3 linked regions of the Oreochromis niloticus genome follow. The main gene of each other region encodes a partner of the protein of the gene in region 2 in a complex. Links are inferred from orthologs where the notes say so. Each region holds a gene or a part of one and is shown on either strand. Other genes may lie near its edges.

The links.
Region 1: flcn (region 2) and lamtor2 share a complex: the UniProt entries of both Homo sapiens proteins name them as parts of the lysosomal folliculin complex. The link is inferred for Oreochromis niloticus from reciprocal best matches to the Homo sapiens genes FLCN and LAMTOR2.
Region 3: flcn (region 2) and fnip1 share a complex: the UniProt entries of both Homo sapiens proteins name them as parts of the lysosomal folliculin complex. The link is inferred for Oreochromis niloticus from reciprocal best matches to the Homo sapiens genes FLCN and FNIP1.

The regions. Positions count from the first base shown.
Region 1 is NC_031976.2:35,941,627-35,949,048, reverse strand, and holds the start of lamtor2 (ragulator complex protein LAMTOR2), read right to left. Parts: upstream 3,002-7,422; 5' UTR 2,850-3,001; coding exon 2,782-2,849; intron 1,578-2,781; coding exon 1,415-1,577; intron 1,269-1,414; coding exon 1,179-1,268; intron 1-1,178. UniProt on the Homo sapiens protein: As part of the Ragulator complex it is involved in amino acid sensing and activation of mTORC1, a signaling complex promoting cell growth in response to growth factors, energy levels, and amino acids.
Region 2 is NC_031976.2:22,273,450-22,281,195, forward strand, and holds the start of flcn (folliculin), read right to left. Parts: upstream 3,012-7,746; 5' UTR 2,770-3,011; intron 2,601-2,769; coding exon 2,397-2,600; intron 2,281-2,396; coding exon 1,816-2,280; intron 1,733-1,815; coding exon 1,566-1,732; intron 1,481-1,565; coding exon 1,389-1,480; intron 1-1,388. Other genes in the region: leng9 (leukocyte receptor cluster member 9), read left to right, coding at 3,563-3,677, 5,970-6,063, 6,410-6,549. UniProt on the Homo sapiens protein: Multi-functional protein, involved in both the cellular response to amino acid availability and in the regulation of glycolysis.
Region 3 is NC_031975.2:21,990,883-21,998,360, reverse strand, and holds the start of fnip1 (folliculin-interacting protein 1), read right to left. Parts: upstream 3,063-7,478; 5' UTR 2,945-3,062; coding exon 2,853-2,944; intron 1-2,852. Other genes in the region: uncharacterized protein LOC102081985, read right to left, coding at 3,969-4,325, 4,451-4,482, 5,582-5,637, 5,724-5,763, 6,056-6,190, 6,262-6,580, 7,447-7,478. UniProt on the Homo sapiens protein: Binding partner of the GTPase-activating protein FLCN: involved in the cellular response to amino acid availability by regulating the non-canonical mTORC1 signaling cascade controlling the MiT/TFE factors TFEB and TFE3.

The sequences.
Region 1 (7,422 bases), about 14 Mb from region 2:
ACACAAGACTAGTTAGCCTCCGGAGGCTGTGTCAGCAGATTAGCTGAAGGGTATGCTGACTGGGAAAAGTGGCAAAGAAAAACTGGATGCACATTCAAAAAGACGGACACAGAGTCTTAAAAAAACAAACAAAAACAAAGCTCAGTCATACTGAACTCCTCATAAGAAGGACTAGTTCACTGTTACTTCTGAGTCAGACGTTTGTTAAACTAAAAGCATGTTTTGCCAAATTACATCCAACTGCTGAACTTCCTTCATTAGCAGAAATCCTCTGCCTCCGTGAAAGAACTCTGAAGTAAAGTGGAGGTAAAATTAAAAACACAAAAAGCTAAAAAAAAAATAAATAAAAATCCTCATTGTTTCCTTGTATTTATGTGCAAACAAATAATGAGCCACACTTTACCCTCAGCTGTTTAAATATTAAATCCATTCTCAGCTGGTCTGGAGGCTCAAAATAAGAGTCTTTATTCTTTATTTGGTTTTTGCATGTGAGTGCTTTTATATGATTTAAAGCGACATAAAAGTACAGCGATCATTCATATTCAATCACAGGCACTGACAATAGCAGAAGGTTAATACTTTCAGTAGCTGCTTATTACCATTACAATGTTTACGCTGATTTAAGAAGATTTTTTTAAAACTTTACAGTAAACTGAATTTAAACCTGCCAGTCGGAGAAAATTAAAGTATTTAGTGACATTTCACAGGCTTTCGAAAAGCATGATAGGCAATAACTGTCAGTTACAGAATCAGTATATTAAACTGTTGATTCAATTGCGTCACAGACACCGGCCGGCTGCCAAATTCAAAATGTTAAGGTTTCTATTTTTCCTGTCCATTTAGATTTGACTAGAATACTTAGTGTGCATGTAAAGTCCACTTAAAATAGTTAAAAAACATGATGGGAAATCAGTTATTGTCTCAGATGCTTAATAATATAATTAACTACTTATGGATTTGATAAATATTGTAAATTAATTAAATTTCTTTTTTTTTTTTTAACTTAAAAAAACAACTCACAAATTGACAACAAAGAGAACTTTTACTTTATATGAGTAAATTTCCAGTATTTTCAAACCTGGCCCTAAATCATTAATAGAAACAGTAACGGTTGTTGATGATCCACATTCAGAATATGAAACATTATCTCATGAAAAGGCAGGAGTTTAAACTCTCACCTTGGCTTTAAGCATCCCGAAGCCCACCGTTTCTTTGGCGTACATGCACAGCAGCAGGTTGGCGACACGAGTAATGGCCACTCTTCCCTCCTGAGAACGACAATGTTAAAGGCAAGAAGACCACAGTATCTCAGTTTATTACTTAATGATGGCTCCACTTTTTCCCACATCACACAAATCTTTCACATATACCTGAAAAAAAAAGTAATAAAAGATGGGGGAACAGCATGTCTTACCATACAATCCATGAGAATGAATTTGAGTTTGTCTTCATTAAAGGCTTGATGGCCGTTCTTGTCATAAGCTGCCCAGATGTTGCTGGCGATAGCAGCTGTCACTCGAGCGTCGGTGTCCCCGTACCCAGAGTACGCCAGGAGTGAGCCTTCATTATTCAGTAAGCTGGTGAGAAACCACATAACCAGCAGATTAATATTAAATTAATATAATAACTTTCAGAGCACAGACAAAGTTATCAACTAAACATAATATATACTCTAACTAAGGTGTATACTACACGAAAATGTATTTTATTTGTATAGGATTTCTTACTACACCATTTTACTAGGCAAGTCTGTTTAAGTAGTTTAGGACTACTGTGAAAGTCAGGACAAAAACACCATATGTACAGTGGTCCCAGTGGTAACAGAGCACTCGGTGCGATTAGGCGAGTGGCTCCAGCAGATCCCAGAAACAACATCGGAGATCTCTGTCCAGAGGAGCACAGTCCTAGGAGCAGCAAAGATACTGTGCAGGACCCTAAAAGCTCCCAGGCCTCTGGTAGAGGTCCGGGAGCTTGAAGGATAAAGAAGCCCTGCAGTGGCAAAAGGTTTTTTTTAAATTATTATTATTCCCTTTAAAAGCATATATAAGTGGTGTCATATACTAACTCATGACAGAAAATAGTGATGACTACTTGCACAATTTTAATAGCACGAGTTGTTGATTCTAAAGGTGTGATTTTCTTTTTCTTTTTCAAAGAGGAATTTTGGTGACACCAACTCGCGTAAACACAACTGATCAACATATAGTCACAGTCTGTATTATCTTACACACAAAAAAATCGTTTTAGTACATATCTGATGCCCTTTTTCCTCTTTGGTGGAATATACCATTACATAAACACAGTTATTGTAGTTTGTAATTGTATATTATTTTGATATAAAATTAGGACAACATTGTTTACCTACTTATTTTTGGAAATTTGACAAACAACTGTTTATTTTATGCTTAAGGAAATTAAACCCCTGTGGGGGGAAATGCCTGACATGAACCTATATCAATTATTTGGGACATTATACTGAGACTGAGATAATGATCAGACACACTGACTATATAATAAAGTAACTTGAATTTTGTGTTGAACACTTCCAAACAGACTGTGCTGGTTGTGAAACATCAGCAGCTCCTCTATGCAAGATACACACTGTTTGATATAATAACATTTTATTCGTCCCGCAGGGGTTATATTCAGTTTTAGAGAATATTCAGAAGACTTAACATGTGTATTGCCTTTAAATTTATATGTAATCGTCAAAAAATGCACCGCTGAAACTCCAGCAGCAGTTAGCATGTGGCTAGCTTGCGGCTAGCTCGCCGTACTCACAGAGTGCTCTGGACTCCGTTTGTGTTCGCCTGGCTGAGAACCTGCGTCAGCGCCTTCGGCCGTAACATGGCTGTTCACCCTCCGATATAAGAGATCAAATATAATAACACTTATTCAGTTTACGGGACGCGACGAGGAGCTTTAAAGTGCCCAAACTGCTCAGAAACACACAACCAAGTCAGCTGATTCGGTTTTCATTTCCGGGTCCGATCGCAATGCATCACGGGAAATGTAGGTATTTCAAAACCTTATTTCACCCCTAAATTCTTTTATACAGTTTTTTTTTAAAATTGGTTTGGCACCATTTTCATAACTAAAGTGTGCATTTTTAAATCTCTCAGTACAAAACTCACATTTGTAACACCACTAGTTATTCTTTCAAATCTGATGTCATGATTTCATTGCATTTGCACATATTTACATTCCACGTAATCATTGTATCAGAACACATGATCACTGTGATATATTTTGAGAACATTTGCTTTAATCACCCAAACAAAACAGTAAGCTCTTTTTTCAACTTAGTACTTTTACCAATCACTTCATTCAGGAGCAAATAATACAAGGTAAGCGATTCAAATTGTCCTTGGTGATGAATGAGTGTAACTGAACTGTAAAACTGTACACAGCAAATATTATACTTATGTTCAGACATAAAAAAAAATAAAAAATATATATATATATATATATATATATATATATATACACACACACGCATATACATACACACAGACACACACACACGAAAAAGGGAGAAAAACAACAAGTCATTTACATAAGCATAATATATTTTTATGTTATTTTATTCTTATCACTTTTACACAATTAATCAAGCCGGTCATTAACATTGGGCCATAAATTTTCATCAACATCACAGTGGATGTCTTCGTTGTTCAGGCACCGTGGGAAAAATGTCCTGGCATGACGAATCCAGGCTTGACATTGCTCAGCAGTTATATCACCACAAGCTTCACACATGAAGAAGGGAGACATGCTCATGGGGATGGCGATCATACACCTTCCACCTCCATGTAGAGAAGAATTCCTTAATTGGGTTGAGGAAAGGGGAATATGGTGGAAGATAGAGGGTCATGAAGCGAGGATGTGTTTGAAGCCATTCCTGAACCAGCTGTGCATGGTGGAAGCTGACATTGTCCCACACAACAACATAGACGATGTCTTCTCCCTGACAGGCCTGCTCCAGTTCATTAAAAAAAAAACAAAAAACAAAAACAAAACAAAAAAAAAAAAAAACCCACACACTCTCAGGTGTTCAGTGTTGTATGACCCTAGAACTGGTCTACAGCCTACCACACCATCTTCAGATATAGCTGCACACATTGAGATGTTTCCCCCATGTTGTCCAGGGACTTGGATGGTAGCCCTTTGTCCAATAAGGTTACGTCCTCTGCATCTAGTTTTTGCCAGATTGAAACCGGCCTCATCAATGAAAATATACTTGTGCTGATTCACAGCAGCGTCCTGTTACAGTAATTGCATGCCAGTTTAGTGTTGTACCTGAATATATTCTGAACGCAGTTGTTTCACCCGGACATTGTTCCTCTCAAAAGGAACCAAGTAAATTTGTTTCATGGAAACCTGGTGCTTCTTCAAAAGCCGGGCAATCGTTGGAAGGCTAATTGATGGCACATTGGCAAAGGTGTCATTGCTGTTCTCAACAGCCTGTTTGATTTCAGACAGCCGTATGTCATTCCTTGCCCTGACCATTTCCACCACAGCCAACTCCTGCTGGTCAGTCAAAACACGTGGGCGACCACCACCAGGTTGTCTCCTGTTAATTCTGACAATCATATACTGTCAATATTGAAGTATTACAAATTACATTACTGTAAACTGACAATTACATGTTGTTCATCTATACAATAGGGTACTATTTTTTAGAAGTGAAGTTGCTATAGCAGACATACCGGTTTTCTTGGCGAAAAGTTTGGATGATAGAGCTGACAGTTGACCTTTGTAAATTAGGCTGTACCACCCTGGCAGCCTCAGCCATGGTAAAGCCTCTGTTAACCACATGGTCAACAATGATGGCCCGGACTTCATTAGAGATGATGGTGCGTTGTCTTCTGCCTACATTTCTCTGAAGACCACCTCTCTGTCGAGGAGCACCACCACCTCTTCGATGAAGGTTTCCTCTCCCTACGAGTCTATCCTGCTCCATATTTGAACAGTGCAAAGTCTCAAACACAGTTCTACTTATATGGTAACTAATTGTGATCATCAGGGGGGAAACAATTAGCAATTAGTATTTCTAGATTGAAAGCTCTTGCAGCCATGTGTAACTTACAAATGACCAGACAACAATCAGTCAAGTTGAAAATCCATGGACATAATGAATGATTCATTGATTAAACATTAAGATCAGTTGAATTGAATGACAGACAAATGTATTAAACTGAATGATAAGAGATGCAAATCAAAAATTTTGTAGTGATAACATTATGAAAGGCAGTAACTGTGAACGAAACATTTATTTAGATGAAACACTTATTTTGTGTAGTGAAAAGGATATTTTGTCATTATGTGTATTGTACTAACACAATTGGAAATATGCTGAAATGTTTGAAAAAGGTGCACTTTTGATGATCTGTTGTGATATAAGTACGAAGAGTTTTGAAAATGTACCAATTGCTTGTGAAAACTGCGCCAAACCAATTACAAAAAACTGTAAATACCACACACAGACCACAACGCATGCATCAGGGTCAGTGAAGGTTAAAAAAAGGCCTGGGAGAAAGGGAGTGAGTGGATGGACGTCGTGAGGGAGCAAAATCACTAAGAAAATTATTTTTTAATTTTTTTAATACAATTTTTTAAAACACATTTTAAACAAAATATCAGATATTCTGATAAATATAAATATCACAAAATATCAGATTTCAGATCAGATGCAAATTTGTGAAAAAACACATGGAAAATTGTGGGTTTTTTTATTTGATGAGCTTTGCAATCTGCCCAAGGGTATCCTGTCATTTGCCCCATGAACCGTCCCCCTGACACTAGACTGAATACCTCAATTCAATTTTCAAAGAAAACAAAATTAGAAGACCATCAGTAGTCCTATCCAGTAATATCCTTTATGCTGTCTTTGACCCTCATAAATGTGTATGTGTTTATGGCGTTTTAACCGTTTTCTCTGTTTTCCTTTTCAGTGTCCTGTTACACACTTGTAAAATATGCCCCATAACAGATTTTAAGCATTTTTTTTACCACGCTTGCTATCCCATGTTTACCAATATTACAATATTAAAGAGACCCTTAATTTGCCTATTTATTACTCACTTTGACATGTAGAGCCTTGATTCTAACAATTTCATGTCTAACACTGATAAGATTACAAAAATCTTGGTATATACATAACATTTTTCTTTTCCTGATTTAAATAATAATACACATTAGAGGTCCAGCTGGTACCTGCTCCTTGAATCTGTATGACTTGGCTTGCATCCAGCAATATACGAGTCTTGGGTTGGTCAGCATCAACAGTGCTCTCAGAATCAGTGTCTGCTAAAAGTTTGGATTTCTGCATATTCATGGAAAATTACAAACACTGGGATCACTCTGAATGTCTTTAGTAACACATTATTTCTCTTCTTGGAGGACAGGAACCGAGCTTCTACCGGTGAAGTATTCTTGGGTGTTCCTGTCACAGTAGTGACCTTCTACACCTGATCTGAAGAACAAAGAAAGCCTGCCCATGTTCTGCTACTACACATTTTACCTAATCAAGTTGTTCTTGGGTTCATTTTCCTATCAACAGAACAAAGAAAGGATGATTAAACTGAAAGAATAAACAGTCGAGTCCAGTCAGAACAACTTTCCTACAACATCAACTCTAAATCAAGGCCAACCTAACGAGTCTGCCACACTACAGCGACCTTTACCATAAGGTCTTAATTTTATTGGTACAAGTTCTCTCTGAAACCTGTAAGAGCTGACATTTATTGTATTTTTCTTCTCTGCCCAAATAGCTACGACATCATTTTCACCCTGATCTTCAACATTCTTGTTTTTTTTCCTGTTAGAATTTTGCTTTTGCTATGGACAATTTACTCTGTATATTCTCACTGAAGATACTGATTTTAGTCATTCAATCTTACTGAATAAACATGTCTTTAAAACAACATGCTTTGAACTGCCAGATATCTATTTAAAGATCATTTAAGCAGCCAAGACCATATAGAGGGACTCACTTACAGTGCAAAAGGTCAGTAAATAGTTCGATATTTTCAAAGCGTGGGTGATCATTATCAACAGATCTGCTCAGTAAGCTCGGTCAACAGCACTACACCCAGTCAGTGATAAGTTTAGTCATCAGCCACCTCCCTCTCTGAACAAAAGACTTGTATCGCTTTTCATTAAACTTTGCAAACACTACCTTCACTGGAGTTACTCAAATCCTCGATCTGCACTAAAATGCCCCGTAATCTTATCAGTTTTAACCCTGTTTTTATGAAGAGAACAATCTGTTCAGATGACTGCTTGGATTTTAGGGAACACCTTCTCAAACACCACAATCTGTACAAACATTTAAAGACCTATCAAGATCAGTCAGTCTGTGGCCTTTACCTAGAATTTTTCTGATAACTGAACCATATAAGTCTCAGGTTTTTGCTGCAC
Region 2 (7,746 bases):
CATCTAAAAGAAGTGGTTTTTAAACTTTTTCACACACACTTCAGAAGCTGAGTCAAGGTGACACTGCACATTTTTTTTAAACCAGTCATCAACAAGAAAAAAAAGATGCACGTTGAATTTTGTTTTAAAAACTTCAGCAATTTCATATTTTTCATCTGGTTGTCTGAGCCCCACCTGTGGGACCTCCAAGCCCCACCAGTGGGACTTGTAATTCACTCAGAAAACCACAAGAATTTGCTGGTTAGATTATCTTTCTACCCTGGAACACGGTTCATGTTCCAGTGTAGAATAATTGCACAGCCAACATCTTTAATGACTTTAAAAAATAAGAATTGGGTGTACCAGTTTGTAGAACCTAATCATTTTATAGCCAAAGTCTTTACTTGCCAAGGCCTATTAACTTTCTCTCGTTGCCAGCATAAACAGATTTGTTTGACAGCACTCGGTGGATTAACCAATACTTAGAACAATGAGAAAGTCAAAGGAACTCAGGGAATATCTAAGAAGAAGAACTGCAGATTTACACTAGCTGGGACGGTCTCTTGGATCCATTCTAACAAACAGATCAGAAAATACACAGATTCCAAGGTTATCAGTTAAAACCGTTGTATGCAAGAACAAATTATTCAGATATGTCACCACTTTACCAGGTTCTGTAAGAAGGCCCAAACTGTCACCGTCAGTTGATGCTGGAAGACTTGAGCCAGGAAGCATCAAGGCTCAAGTCTGCCTTGAATTGTCAAGCATTGTGCTCGAAGACCTTTTGACTGACAGTCAAATAATATGTTGTACAAAGTGGATGGGATAATGACCACGCAGTTGGTATTCCCACAGGATAATGATCCTAAACACATCAAACCTGGTTTTGGAAGGGATAAAGCAGGCTGGAAAAAAAACATTAAGCATCTGAAATGACCTTCCCTAAGCCCTGACCTCACTCAGAAAATATGTGGACTATGCTTATAAGCTGAGCTGGTTCAATGAACCAACAAATCTAAATGAACTCTGCCAAGAAGATGGGTGAACTACCCAGCCCTCAAAATAGGCCAGATACTTACTGAACAATTAAGGTGCAACTTCCTAAGGAACATTAAACCAAATATTAGAGGGAGCGTATATATATATATTTTAGTTTGTATGTTTATTTTTGACACTGTGTGGATTAGAGAAAATCCCAAATAAATTCAATTTTGCACATTCAGTTCTTGTTTTTTAAAGTCATTAAAGATGTATGCTTTACAGTCATTCCACCCTGGAAAAATAACAGTTCAACCAAATCATTTAAAGCCCAAAATTACTATGAGAGTCATGTTCATGATGAGCAAACTTCTGACCACAACTGTATATACATAAATATCACGCCTCTTAATCGAGGTCAATACATCTACCTGTTTGTCTCTCTATGAGCACCAGAGTGTCCTCGGTGGGGGCTCCTTCCAGGAGCTTCTCCGTCAGACGGCTACCACAAGCTTTAAGTAACCTGGAAGTGAGGTGAGACCACTCATTAGCCGGGTGAGAGACTGACTGGAAAAAGAAGAACAGTTTCTTTGAACCTAATGACTCACCAGCTAAAGGAGGAGTGCAGGCTGGCCCACAGGTTAGGATGCTGGGTGAGAGAAGTCAGCGAACGGGCTGCATTGCCGCTCCTTTGGTGTGGAAAAACTGCAGGTGAAAATGCACTGTTCATCCTCACAGCTCGCTGCGGACAAACTCCCTGTTCATTGTCAAACACCTAATGGAAAGGATGGTCCAAAGACATCAGAAGCACTAATAAATAAGTCTGCTGAGTTTATTATGTTTATATACGTGCTCTACCTTTAGAGCTGTGCTCTGCAGACTCTGTATAGTAAGCTTGAGGTGACGCAGCAGGAAAGGCCAGGAGTTTATAAGGTAGATTCTGTCCATGGCTACCATAACAATACTGTACCAACGCTGGAAGCCTCTAGCGAGACTGTCTTTGATAAAGAAGGTGTGTGAGAACACAAATCCATGTTGCTCATCTCCAAAAAAAATGGGCCCTTCACGTCCGGGACAGACCTGACACCAAAACAAACAGAAAACATAAAGAAGTATATCAGTAATCAGCCGATTAAAGCCCACAGACAACACCCACGTAAACATGTCACTAATTACCTCACAGCTGAGACTGCGTACACAAGCCTGTCGGACCACGCTGAAAAGCTGGGGCTGTCTGGGGTGCTGGTGGCTGAGGAAGCGGATGCCTGTTTCATCATCAATGCTAACAAAGCCCGGGTGAGATGCAGGCAAGGATCGGCAACCCTATGAGACAAAGAAAAAAGGAAATTAGTACTTTAAGGCTGAAAATTAATGAAGAAACAAATAAAGCGAGGGATCCAAGTATCTGATAAGGTCGCAGTCAGGCCCCTTCTACTCACCTCACACATTTCTTTCTGTGTGGCTGAGCTGTTGGCCTTCATGGTTAGACCTTCACCATCACGGTCACCATCTCGGTCCCCTGGCACTTGGGCACCTGCCTGGGATGAAGGGGATGGGGAAGGCGGGTGTAGTGCCTCAGTGCAGAACAGGGTCCGAGGGCCATGGAGCTCACAGAAGTGACAGAGAGCCACCAGAGCATTCATCTGAAAGAACAAAACAAGTTTTCATATGTTTACTGTTCTAAAGATGTCTGATTTAGATCTGAACACCCACAGTCATGACACCCACATCTAGTTCTGGTTAATCACTGACGTTACCAGATTACACTGGGGTTAAAATACGGGTACAGCTGGCAGTATGAGACTGTCTTACCTTCGGTGCAGAACCAAGTTCAACAAATGACTGGTGACACTTCACAAAGAGGAATTCATTGGACGTAGTGTTCAAAAAGCCGTGCCGTTAAAAAAAAAAAAATAACAGCGCCGTGAAACAAAATCAAATCTTCATCGAGCCCGTATTTTAAAAAACCATCGTTCCTAACATCTTAACTGAGGCTTTCTACACTTTTTTGTTGTCCTCTGTGTAGCTGCCAGCAGGCAACAAAAACAGACCTCGTCACATGATGCAGAGTCACGCGCTCGGGCACAAATGACGCGTGGCTGCCAACTGCTGCTCATTTTTCTCCGTTTTAACCGTCGAATCAAAAACATCTTTAATACTTTACCAGCGACGTGAAAGCACGCGAACATATTTAATAGTTTTTCAACTTTTTTGTGTGCCAATATCAGGCTTTATGTACGACAAACGACGCATTCCTCGGCAAACGAAAAAGTGGAACTACATTACCCATAACCCAATCTGGTATAACAAACAAGGGGTTAAAGGGGAATAAAAAAAAAGTCGGAACTGTTTTCATTGAAGGTTTGTGTACTAAAAGGTATGTTCCGGTTGATTTCTAAGCGTATATATGGTTTAAATATACTATCTTAGCAGACTAGCTGGTTTATTAGCTTCTCTTTTAACACTGTACAACGTTAATCCGTCACTTCCGCATTAAAACATGAACGTTTTTTATAGGTGTGTCACTCTTAAGTGGTCAACAAAGAGATAACTTACACACAGTGACACGGCAGATCTTTTTGACTTCTAAATCTCAGATCTTAGGATGGCTTCAGGTGGATCAGGAGTTCCCCCCACCGACCCGACTGACACACCGAGTCCACAGGCAGGGGTCCCCGCTGACTCTCAGAGCGGCAAAGACACCCCAAAAGCCAAAGGAGGTAAATCAGTTTCACACACTTACAATATGTAATCTAAAGTCAGTCTGTGAAAGCTTCTAAGGTGATTTGAGGCACATCTTGTTATTAGACATGCACAGTAAAACCCTGCTGGTTGACTCATATGATTACACCAGCTTATTATTTTCCTAGTAATCCACTTATAAATCATATTGTTGAGTCTGTGGTGTGAGTCTGTGTTACTCTGGGCAATAGGAGTTCTGGCCAGGTCTTAGTTTTGTAATCGCGTGGCCGGAGCCTCTTATCATCAGAAGGGGGGCTGAAGGATGGAGTCCAGTACTGTAATGAACTGTTTCCTACATTTTTCACGTCCTGCTGGGGCACTCTGCTTTGCTGGAAATGTTTCAGGATTTGAGGAAATGACTGACTCTGATCTGCCCGCTTCTGCTCCCACTCGGAACTCAGCAGACTAATCTGTGGATTAACTTTATGTATACTAAAGAATTTCAAAGTTGTAATGTTTAATTTTCATCCTTAGACATTTACTTATAGGCATTCAATTTGAGAGAGAGTTAAAAAACTACCAAAATTTGTGGCTGATCCAGACAACCATCTCCCTTTCTAAGAAATAAATCACAGCTAATAATTAAAGTATTTGTGTCATGAGTCACGTTCATTCATCCTGTCTCTAAATAGTATTGCAGGATGTGTGTTATTTGGGTGTAAAGGCAACCTCATCATGTACATCATACTTGGCTGACATTTGAGTCCTCTGAGTTGAGTCATTGCCACTTGTCATATGATAATACTCAATGGAAGTGGACTGGAGATGGACTATACACGTCATTTTCCCCATGCCTCTTTCTCACTCATTTATTTATGACACAGCATGGTAACGGGAATGATAAGAGGGGTTTCTAGTAAATGAACAGACGATAAGGAATCCTTTTTCCAGATGTCTGTGTGAGTGACATAGACTGATGCAGAAGCTCAGCCAAATGTAAACACACGCAGAAGCAAACGGTTAAAATATACGTGAACAAAAAACAGAAAGAAAAGTACTGCACGGCTCTCATGGCTGATCTGACAGGTGCTCATTGGTGGTAGAGGTAGAAAAAACAAAATCCAAGAGAACTCACTCAGTATTATGTATATACAGTAAAAGCCCCGAGGTACTTCATCAGGATCTCATATTTTTTTTCTTCCACTTTACTTTAAGAATGAACTTAAAACTTGTACTTGTACCAGAGGCCATAGTTGTTCATTAGTTTTCTATGGTTGGAATTACACCACATAATTTTGGAAATTTTTCATGGATTTTGGTTTAAGTAGAAACATACTACATCTTCTAAAAGTATGGTATAAGTATCACATGTGTTATCTGATATTGTTAATTTATCATTCATATTGGTTTGCTGAACACTTTAACAGCCACTACAATCTGATAGATGAAGATAGTTTCACTGATAATGAAAACTACTATAAACTAACAGGGTGTAAATTTCCTCTGTTTTACAGCTGGGATCAATGTGAAGAAATACAATCTTTTAACTCGCAGTTTTTGGAAATTGGACTTTTTGTAGGATTCAGCGTAGCCCATGGCCCAGTTACACAGGGTCAGCAAGCAAGTACGTTTGGGTAGTGATGTTGTTTCTTATGAAACTCACTTGTTTTAACATTAAAACACCATCACCTCTGTGGATTGGTTAAATGTGAAGTAAAACCCTGGCTTGTTTTGCAAAGAGAAAGCACAACTGAATCAGGAAGAAGCTAAAATGAAAGTTGTCTGTCTAAATTTGGCAGATTTCTTGTGAACTTGCAGACTGACAACAGCCACACTGTCTCTTTTTAGCAAGAGGGGATCTAAAGAGGGGCACATCATTTTTACAGTTACAATTAAAAAAAATATAGATTCATAATATAAATCTAATTTCAGTTATGCTAATAAATTATGCAGCAATCTTAGCAGAGGATTACGAGTTTCTCACATTGACTTTTTTGGTCTGTGAAAACGAACAAGACGCCGGGGTAAAAGTCAGCTCTACGGTTCTAGTGGTCCAATGGCGAAAAACATTATTTTGAATACTGGCTTATTGTAGCACAGACAGGTACCCAAAATTACGAGTGACCATATAAGATGCTGTAACATGCCTTGGGACTGCTTTAAACAAAACCTGTTGATCTCTTCTGCCATTACATTTTTTTTTCTGACATAGTTTGAATGCAGAAGAAAGGGTGAAATACTGCATGATTTCTGTTCAGTTTTATTAAATGTTGGCTCTTTTTATTTTTAACCTTTTGTTCTGTCTCTCCCTCTGGCGTCCTGTCTTTCAGAGTCAGCAGAATGTTGCAAGGATGGAGCCAAAGTGTGCCAGTTTTTCCGGATAGGAAAATGTCATTTTGGCCTCAGATGCCGTTTAGCTCACAGGTTTGCTCTCCTTACTTTATTCAGAAAAATCATCAGAAGCATACATGAAGATTTATAGTTTTTTTCCAGATAATTTTTTGGCATCTTGTGGTTTTATTTTCAAAATTAACACAAAAGACTTTGGAAATTATTGTAGATTAGCTGCTGTTTATCTTCAGATCACAGGTGTTAGAAGCTTGGTTTGGAGACAGAGAGACATGGATGTAAATATCTTTGGAATGACCTTTTGTCTGCATTTTTTATCTGCGGGACAGTTGGCTAGATATGATGAATACCCTCACTGATGAAATTTCTGTCTCAATCTCCTTGTCTCTGCATTTTTTCCACTGCTGCTCTCATTTCTTAGTGACCCATTACAGGATGATTCAGGGGCTTTGTGTCCTGAAGTGGATGAAAAACAGGAAGGAGAAAAGACACAAGAAAAACACAAGAACAAGAAGGGCAGTGTGAATAAAGTGCCAAAGCCAAAACATGACGAGAGAAGAGGTCACTCCGCATTTATTTAGCTTTCTGTGAGAACATACAGGGAGTGCAGAATTATTAGGCAAATGTATGAGGGGCCGTACAAGCCAAAATTCATTCTTTCACTCTCACACACATACATTCTTCTTTCACACACATATATTTTCACTCTCACATACATATATTTTCACTCTCACACACATATATTTTCACTCTCACATACATATATTTTCACTCTCACACACATATATTTTCACTCTCACATACATATATTTTCACTCTCACACACATACATTCTTCTTTCACACACATATATATTTTCACTCTCACATACATACATTTTCATTTATGCATTCCTACATTTTGCTCTCATTTACATGCATTCAATATGCATTTAATCTCACAAATAATATATGTATGTAAGAAGAGAATGCATACATGTCAGAAGAAAATATATGTATGCAAGAGAATAATGTATGTGAATGAAAGAGTATAGTGGAAACGGAAGGAGTTTAATGGAAACGGAAGGCTGGGTGTCTGTACCGCTGTGATTGGCTGAGAAGCACGCGCGGGTCACTTTCAAGTGTCTGACAGTATGGAGGGGGGAGAAGAAACTCGAGTTCTTCAGCAAGCTATCGGGGTTTTAAGAAATATTTTATCATCTCCTGAAACGGTCACATCGTTGTCCTCGTCACTTGATCGAGATGGGACGGGCTCAACTTTTTTTTTTACGTGCGCTCAAATTTTTTTTAGGTGCGCTCAGAATAGTGGGACAAAAATAAGGCCATAGGTAACAGGCATCTCCGAAAATGTTAGAGCACTTATGGAAATATGTGATGTCTTGATGAATCAAGCAGATATTTGAAGTTTACACAGCACCATTCTCGCATGAAAATATCTTAAAAGTTTATTTTGTGACCTATGGCGTTATTTTTGTGCCACAAAACCAGCCAATCACAGACTTGGATGCAAAAATATCTGATTGGCTGTTCTGGTCTCCAATCAGCTCGAAATGACGAAATGCAATATCTCAGAATCCATTTCGTCCAAAACTCAAACGAGGCAGTGGCAGAGAAGCACAGAGTGGCGGAGTTTGAAATATTACTCTTTCTGGGTTACTGTGGCGTTATTTTTGTGCCACTATTCGTAAAAAAAAAAGTTGAGCCCGTCCCATCTCGATCAAGTGACGAGGACAACGATGTGACCGTTTCAGGAGATGAT
Region 3 (7,478 bases), on a different chromosome or scaffold from region 2:
AAAAAGAAAAAGAAAAGTAGTACTCCAGCAAATGCAATGTCATGCATTTTCACAGGCTGTAATGAATAAGCTTGTCAAACATGATTTACTAAATCTACATTACACAGTACTAATTTAATTTATTTTAAATTTTATTATAAGTTTTATAAGTTAAGTTTTATTATATTTTCTAGACTTATGACCATTTTATATCAACTTGAAAAGGAAACAGGTGAGTCCTGGTTTACCATAGAAAAAGTTTTTAATTCCACAAATCTATATAGTAAACAGAAAACTTCAAACTTGAGTAAATCTGCTTTTACTCTCTTATTCGTATATTGTCTGTTGGTGCAGGTCATGTAGGATGTTTCCTCAGCAGGCTGCCAGGACAAGCAGTTTGGGTGTGAGTGGGAGGACAAAGCTACTGGCTAATGATCAGGTCTCAGACTGGCTACAGGATGAGCCAAAGGCTTTTGGTGTAATGTACAGTATGCCATCCCCAGTCAGGTGCCACAGCCTGGGAAACAGGAGTCTTTTTAGGCTTTCCTCTCAGGGTCAGCCAACCTGCTGCCCTCTATGGTATTCTGGAGGGCACAGTGGAGTGGTGTGGCAGAGCATGGTGTGGGTGATGCATTAGGCAGGCCAGAGGTTTGCAAAACAGGAAAGACTTCATCTCTTCTGGATTTTAAAAAAAATACACTGAAAAATGCTAATAATAAGCCTGATGTACAAACTAAAAAAAAAGCTATTTCTGGTGTCACATTGTGGTTGCTTATCCCCCCCAACCTGTCAGAGGTTTTTAAGGTCATTTTCTTTTAATGTCTTGATTGAAATTGACTGCAGCATGCTACCCAGCCAGCTTTATTCGTGGTATAGTTCTCACACAGTGCTTTTTAAAAAAAATACTTCAGAATACTATTAACGTCAGCATTTCTGCAGGCCACCTCTGTCAGTAGACTGCAGTCACGTTATATTCTCTGTTCTGTCCATCTTTTAATGTTGCATGCTCAGTTCCTAACCACTTCATCCTCCAACTTATTTGTTCCACCCTGTGCCATTAGATTCCCCTCCCTTAGACCCTCTATTGAATGTTTTCTTCTTCCTTTTCGCCATTTTTCTTTTATGCAGAAACTCCTACTGCTGCATCTTAGCCTATTCTTGCTACCACACAAGTGTCCCTCTCCAACCATGTCTCCACACAGTTCTGTCCTCTCTAGAGCATTTCATGCTTGATGAATGGGAAGCTTATGCCAGAGGTATGAAGAGCACAGCTGACCACTGAGCTAACAGAAAAGCCTGCTGCCTGCCTGTTTGCTCTGGGATTGATGCCAGAAAGCCCCCCGCCCCTCCACGCACACACACACACAGATTGCATTTATATCACTGGGTGCAGGGCACCTTTATGGCAGTGGAACGTGCTCTGGCTCAGGCATGGACCAAAGTGCAAGCAGCACCACAAGGAGGTGCGTGTTCAGGTAAATATCTTCCCCATGAGTGACAAGGTGGGAGAAACATTTTGCAATGCCAGTGTATTTAAAGCTTTAGAGCACGTTTTTCCAATGGTGGCAGACCTGACCCTGAGTGTGTGAGAGAAAATACACAGGGAGACTGCAAATCAACTCCCATTCAGCTCAATGATTCACTGCCATGTCAAGCTGAATGTTACCTTAGAGTTCTTATGCAGCTTACATCGGTTTTGTACTCCATAAATAAATAAGACTTTGTTTTAAGATTATGAGTGGAAACATTATATATGCTAAGGATGCCCAGTTGCAAGCCTGACAGCATTGGGCAACATGTCGCAGCAATACTGCGTTAATTTGCCTTTAATTTTTAAAATACATGACCAGATCGTTAAAGGGTAAATATCAAAGAGCACTGGTGTTTGGAAATGATAAATGTTTTCTATATCTACATGAGAAATGACACGATTATCTGCTTTAGTGGATGTGGAACACAAGCAACGCGTGCAGGAAATACTATAATCACTACAAGCCATCTTGCATTTGTTCTAAGCATCGGTTTTCTAAGTAAACTTCAGCTACTTGTCTATTTAACATCACTGCAATGTTAGGTGATATTCAGACGCCAAGTAGCGCTATTTCAGTAAAATTAACACTGTGCATCAACAGTCTACCGACACAGCAGCACGGTATGGCATACATCAGCGGCCGACTGAAGCGATCACATGTGCTTCCATTAAGAGCACACGGTGTCCTGCTCTGTTGTCTGGTGGAGAGTACAGTAACAGAGGCGAAGCCGAGGGATGCTACTTCTATTTAGCTCCAAGTTATCAGGATGCAGCTAAAGATAAGCTACAAAAGACCGCGACAATACTGTCACGTGCGTTTTCTTGCCACAATGCTGTTACCACAGAAACACAAAGGGGAAAGAGGAGGGGGGAGCAAGGGGGAGACAAAGAGAAAGCAAGATACTTCTACTGTAACTTGCAAGCACCATTTGACTATCTTCGGGATGACAATAAAGCGTTTTTTCACTTATAAGCTGACATAAACAATTATTTATATGAGCAAAAAAGTGATGGCTAACGAGCTGAATCAAGTCCCACCAAGACAGCGCGTGCAGCAGCCTCGCTAGCGTCCAACAGCTAGCATTAGCATGTAGCTAATCGCACCAACAAGGCACAACACGTCTCTCACGTCGCTCTACACTTTCCAACACTGATGTCAAATCAGCCAAACTACACAACGCTCATCTGCTGAGTGCCTCGAGTTGAAAATAAGCGTTGCTCCAAAAACACTGTCATTCCTTTCAGACGTCAAAGCGAAAGCCATAGATATTATTAACGTACACACGCACAGCCCTACACACAAACCACAGGCGGACACACACTCACGCACACAATAAGCTACCTGAAAGCTGGGTCCTCTTTGCTACACCTCGGGGGCGGCGACGAAAACGCATTTCTCTTGTTAAAAAGTTTCTGAAAGAGAGTCGGAGGCATCTTGTACCAAAATGAATTCGGTACAGAAAGTCTCTTTCCTTTTTCAAATCCACGACCAAATCTTGTTCCTTGTAACTGTCTCCATGGGTGTCACAGTCATATGACACGCATTAGTCACAGGAGCAGCTTGGTAACCCACTACATTATTCTGATTGGCTCACGGGACGCCAATGCTGCTACAACAAATTACCCGATTGGCTGATATTTTTGGTATAAGTACCACGTGGTGAGTGGATTTGCTGTGTTGATGTTTTGTCGGCAATCGTGACTGCATGAAATTTATTCACACTAAAAAAAAAAAGTATCTAAGTGCGACTGCTGAACGGCTTGACACACACACACCCACACACACTTCAGATATTATCGAAAGACACAGTTAAGAAAATAATTAACTGTAAGAAACGCGTCAAACACAGAACGAGTGATCGCCCCAACAGGCATTTTATTGTATTTTTATTTGCTTTAGACACTTTCTGAATCAAATACATATGCAGATTTTGAGGACAAAGACAAATATACATAAATATGGAAAGAGTATACCTAAAATACATATCTTATACATTTAAACTTTGCTTTTAAATCATTCTTCATTTAGAAAGTCTATAGTAACACATGTTACGAGAATAAATACAAATATAGACAAGCACAACAAGCAAAAAACATATATATACACACACACATATACATATATATCATATTTAAAGGTGGAAAAGCTCACTGTATGGACAAGACAGACAATGTTTTTTCAAGGTAAATGCATATGTGCCATCTAGTGGTCATTTCACATCACACTTTTTTCATATTAACCTAAACGCCAGTCTAGCATGTCTCTTTAATTAGTACTTAAATGTTATTTAAAGTTTGTTCCATCGATTCTTCTCTCCTTCTTTTAAATACTAACAGACCATTTTTATATAGGACTTTTTACAATTAGACTAATCTAATCCAGATGAGGGGGTAAAGCCGGAGTTTTATGCATGCGATATTCTAGCTTTAAATGTGGCAGGAAAGATGGTTCGGTGCACTAAACAGCTGTGAAGGGAAATAAAGTAACACTTCTGAGTTTCACACATCTTTCTCTCATGACCTGAAAGAGAGTATCTCTCTCCTTGTCAGTGGCAAAGTCAAAGAGCTTGGGTTCCCTGTGGCTAGTTTTCACAGACCTTTTTAGCAACATGGTCAGAGGTAAGGTTTCCTCTTCCGAGCCGATCTCTGCATCAGGCTTCAAATCCTCAGGTGGGCTGGACATTTGCAATGGCTTGTTGAGACTGTGAGTCATTAACTTTGAGGCTGGGATGCATTTTCCATCAAAGGTCTCAGCAATTACAGGGCTTTTGAATGAAACCTTCTTCTTACACAAGATAGGTCTTCTGTAGCTGAGCTGTGGAGTAAAAATCATTTCAATCATGGCCGTGATCCCCCTTACTTTTGTTTCTAACAAAATAAAATGATCTACATCATATCAAATTTAAACAGATGTAAATAAATGGGCAGATGACTTCTTACTCTTGGTGGGGTTTTCCTCTTCAAGGCTTTGTCTGCAAATTTAAGACAGAAACCACAAAAGTAGTCGTAATAATTATACAATAATTTTTTTGTGGAGTAGATATTAAAAATACACATGAAATATATGCACTTGCCAGCCACTTCATTAGGTACACCTTGCTAGTACAGTGGTGGGCCCCTTTTTGGTTCCAGAACTGCCCGAATTCCTTGGCTTCAACAAGGGGCTGGAAACATTCTTCAAAGAATTTGCCCCATATTGACATGATAGCATCACAGAGTTGCTGCAGATTTGTTGGCTACATATTAATAATGTGAAGCACCTGTTTCACCACATTCCAGAGCTGCTCTATTAGACTGAAATCTGGTATTTAATTGTGGTATTTAAATGATGCTCAGTTGGTACTAAGGGGCCCACATATGCCAGGAAAATATTCTCCATGCCATTACACCACCCCCACCACCAGCAGCCTGAACTGCTGCTAAAAAGGCATGGTTGATCCATGCTTTTATTTTGTTAACACCAAAATCTGACTCTAGCCTGTGAATACTGCAAAAGAACTCGAGGCTCATCAGACCAGGCAACATTGTTCCAATCTTCTCTTACTCAGTGTTGGTGAGCCCTGCATTTAGAGATCCTCTTGCTTGCAATGCTCTGATTATTTGAGTTACTGTTGCCTTCCCATCAGTTGAAAGCAGTCTGGCCATTTTTCTCTGACCTCTGGCATCAAAGCATTTTCTCCAAGAGAACTGCTGCTCACTGGATATTTCCTATTTGTTTTAGACAATTTCCTGTGAACCCTCAAGATGGATGTGTGGGAAAATCCCAGTAGATCAGCAATTTATAAAATACTCACACCAGCCTGTCTGGCACCAACAACCAAGCTACGTTCAAAGTCACCTTTCTTCTCCATTCTGATGCTTGGTTTAAACTTCGGCAGGTCATCATGATCATGTCTACATGCCTAAATGCACATAGCTGATGCTATGTGATCGGTTGATTATACATTTGCTTTAATAAGGAGTTGAACAAGCATTCCTAATAAAGTGGTCGGCAAGTGTAGTTTGTAATAATAGTCATGCTCCAAATACTACTTGAGGAAGATGTGTTTCTCATGAAATGAGAGCCTTTACCTGATTTCAACAAGTCATTTTGTATTTTAGCATCAGATCCGGCTTCTCTGTTGTTGCTTGATAAAGAAATAACAAGGAATGAAGCAGTTAAATTGCGTGAGCCACAAGTACTAAACACTGAGATTCAACTGAGAAGACTTACCTGATCTCACAGGTCTTTTCAGCAAGAATAGTGGAGGCATCTGCAGACAGAGTTACTCCTTTTCAGACACACGGCTATGGTTTGGGTACGCATATAAATAACACTGTATTTAATTGAATCATATGTTAATTTGATTGCTCCTTCTAAAAGAGAAACATTTTAAATGTAAATATCAGATGGAGTCTAAGGAGCTTGCAAAAAAAGACGTACCAAACATGACTGAGTATGACTAAAGTTATATGTTTAACACATTTGTTCAATTAAGTGGAATTTATTGAATTGAAAAAAAGAGAGAAAATTAAAGTGTGACTAAGATTTTCTCCCAGTATTACCCAGGATGGTAGAAAGGTTAGGGGGATGATGCATGTGTATGCTCTCAGCGTGGCTGACATCCAACAAAGTGGAGTTTTTTATGTGATGATGGAGACCCAGCAGGTCTTCCCCAATGGAGAAATTGAAGGTTTCCACTATCAAGACAAAAAAAAAAGTGAGAAATGACACCAAGTGTGCCTGTGGATATACAAAAATGTACACATACAAATGCACTCAGACACATCCTGGTTTTCTCTTCTGAAGATCTCTGGAGAGGGAAGATTGTTAGAAGTTGCGGAGGTCAAAAAGTCCTCATCCTCTGTGTCACCAGAGCTGAAAGTTGTGTCAGTCTCCATGCTAGATAATGTGAAGCTTTCCGGAGTCACTGCCAAGCTTTGCTCGTCTTCTTTACCCGACATTTCATCACCTTCATGAGCCTCTACTACAGTCACCTGAACGGCAGGTAAGGTTGCTTTGTGTCCGGTAGTTTCAGTAAGTGCAGGTGTGCTTAAGCTAAAAGTAGATTTGGGGTGTACAGTGTTGGCCTGTGTGAAAAGAATAAGCATAGAAAGGGGGAGTAAATAAAACTAATCTGGTGACTGAAGGTTATAGCACATGATTCTAATGCTGTTTTATACTTATTAAACTATTCAGTGAAGTTTGTCTTTGGTTGCTGATTTTTTTGCTGTAATAATTCTTCTTGGCAATAAATCTTATACAGCTGGAAAGCACACAGTAGTGTGCGACCAAGCTGGTGTCTGTGGTTCTTCCACAGGCTACTGAGCCCCCTGTCTGTTAAAAGAATACACTGTTAAATTGTCAATATGCATTTTTTATTCAGACTTCAATCATCCAATCCAATAAGAGACACCAAACAAGAATCAATAACAGAATAAGCTGTCTGGCACTGGCAGAGAAATTTGGCAGGTTGTTCACCCACATACTCAACTCCTCAATGCACCATTAAGGGGAAATACAGAGTATAAGACTTATCGCCAAGAAGCGTTGTTACAACAAACAAATCATCAACCAAACATTAATTTCCTTATTTTTCTGAATAATTGCTCTTCATTCTTTTCTCACATAATCTGATGTATGACCACTGTGACCAGATTTGCTAATGTGTTCTATAGAACAAAATGCACATGTCACTTTAACTTCTTGCCAGTTTATTGGGGGACTCGTTGTGGCTTCAGCATCAACATTCACTTGTTTTTTTTCTCTACGTAGATTCCTTCATATTTTCTTCTTGTCACCCATATATGTACAGTCGGCAAGGTATCATTTATCTTAATTGCCCCTTGGGGATAAATAAAGTGTCTCTGACTCTGATAATTGTGAGCTAGTAAATATTAACGGACATCAGTGACTGTTAGTCTTACATGAATACAAAATATCTGGGCACACTTACAGATACTGGGCTCTTTGGTTTGACAGTGGAGT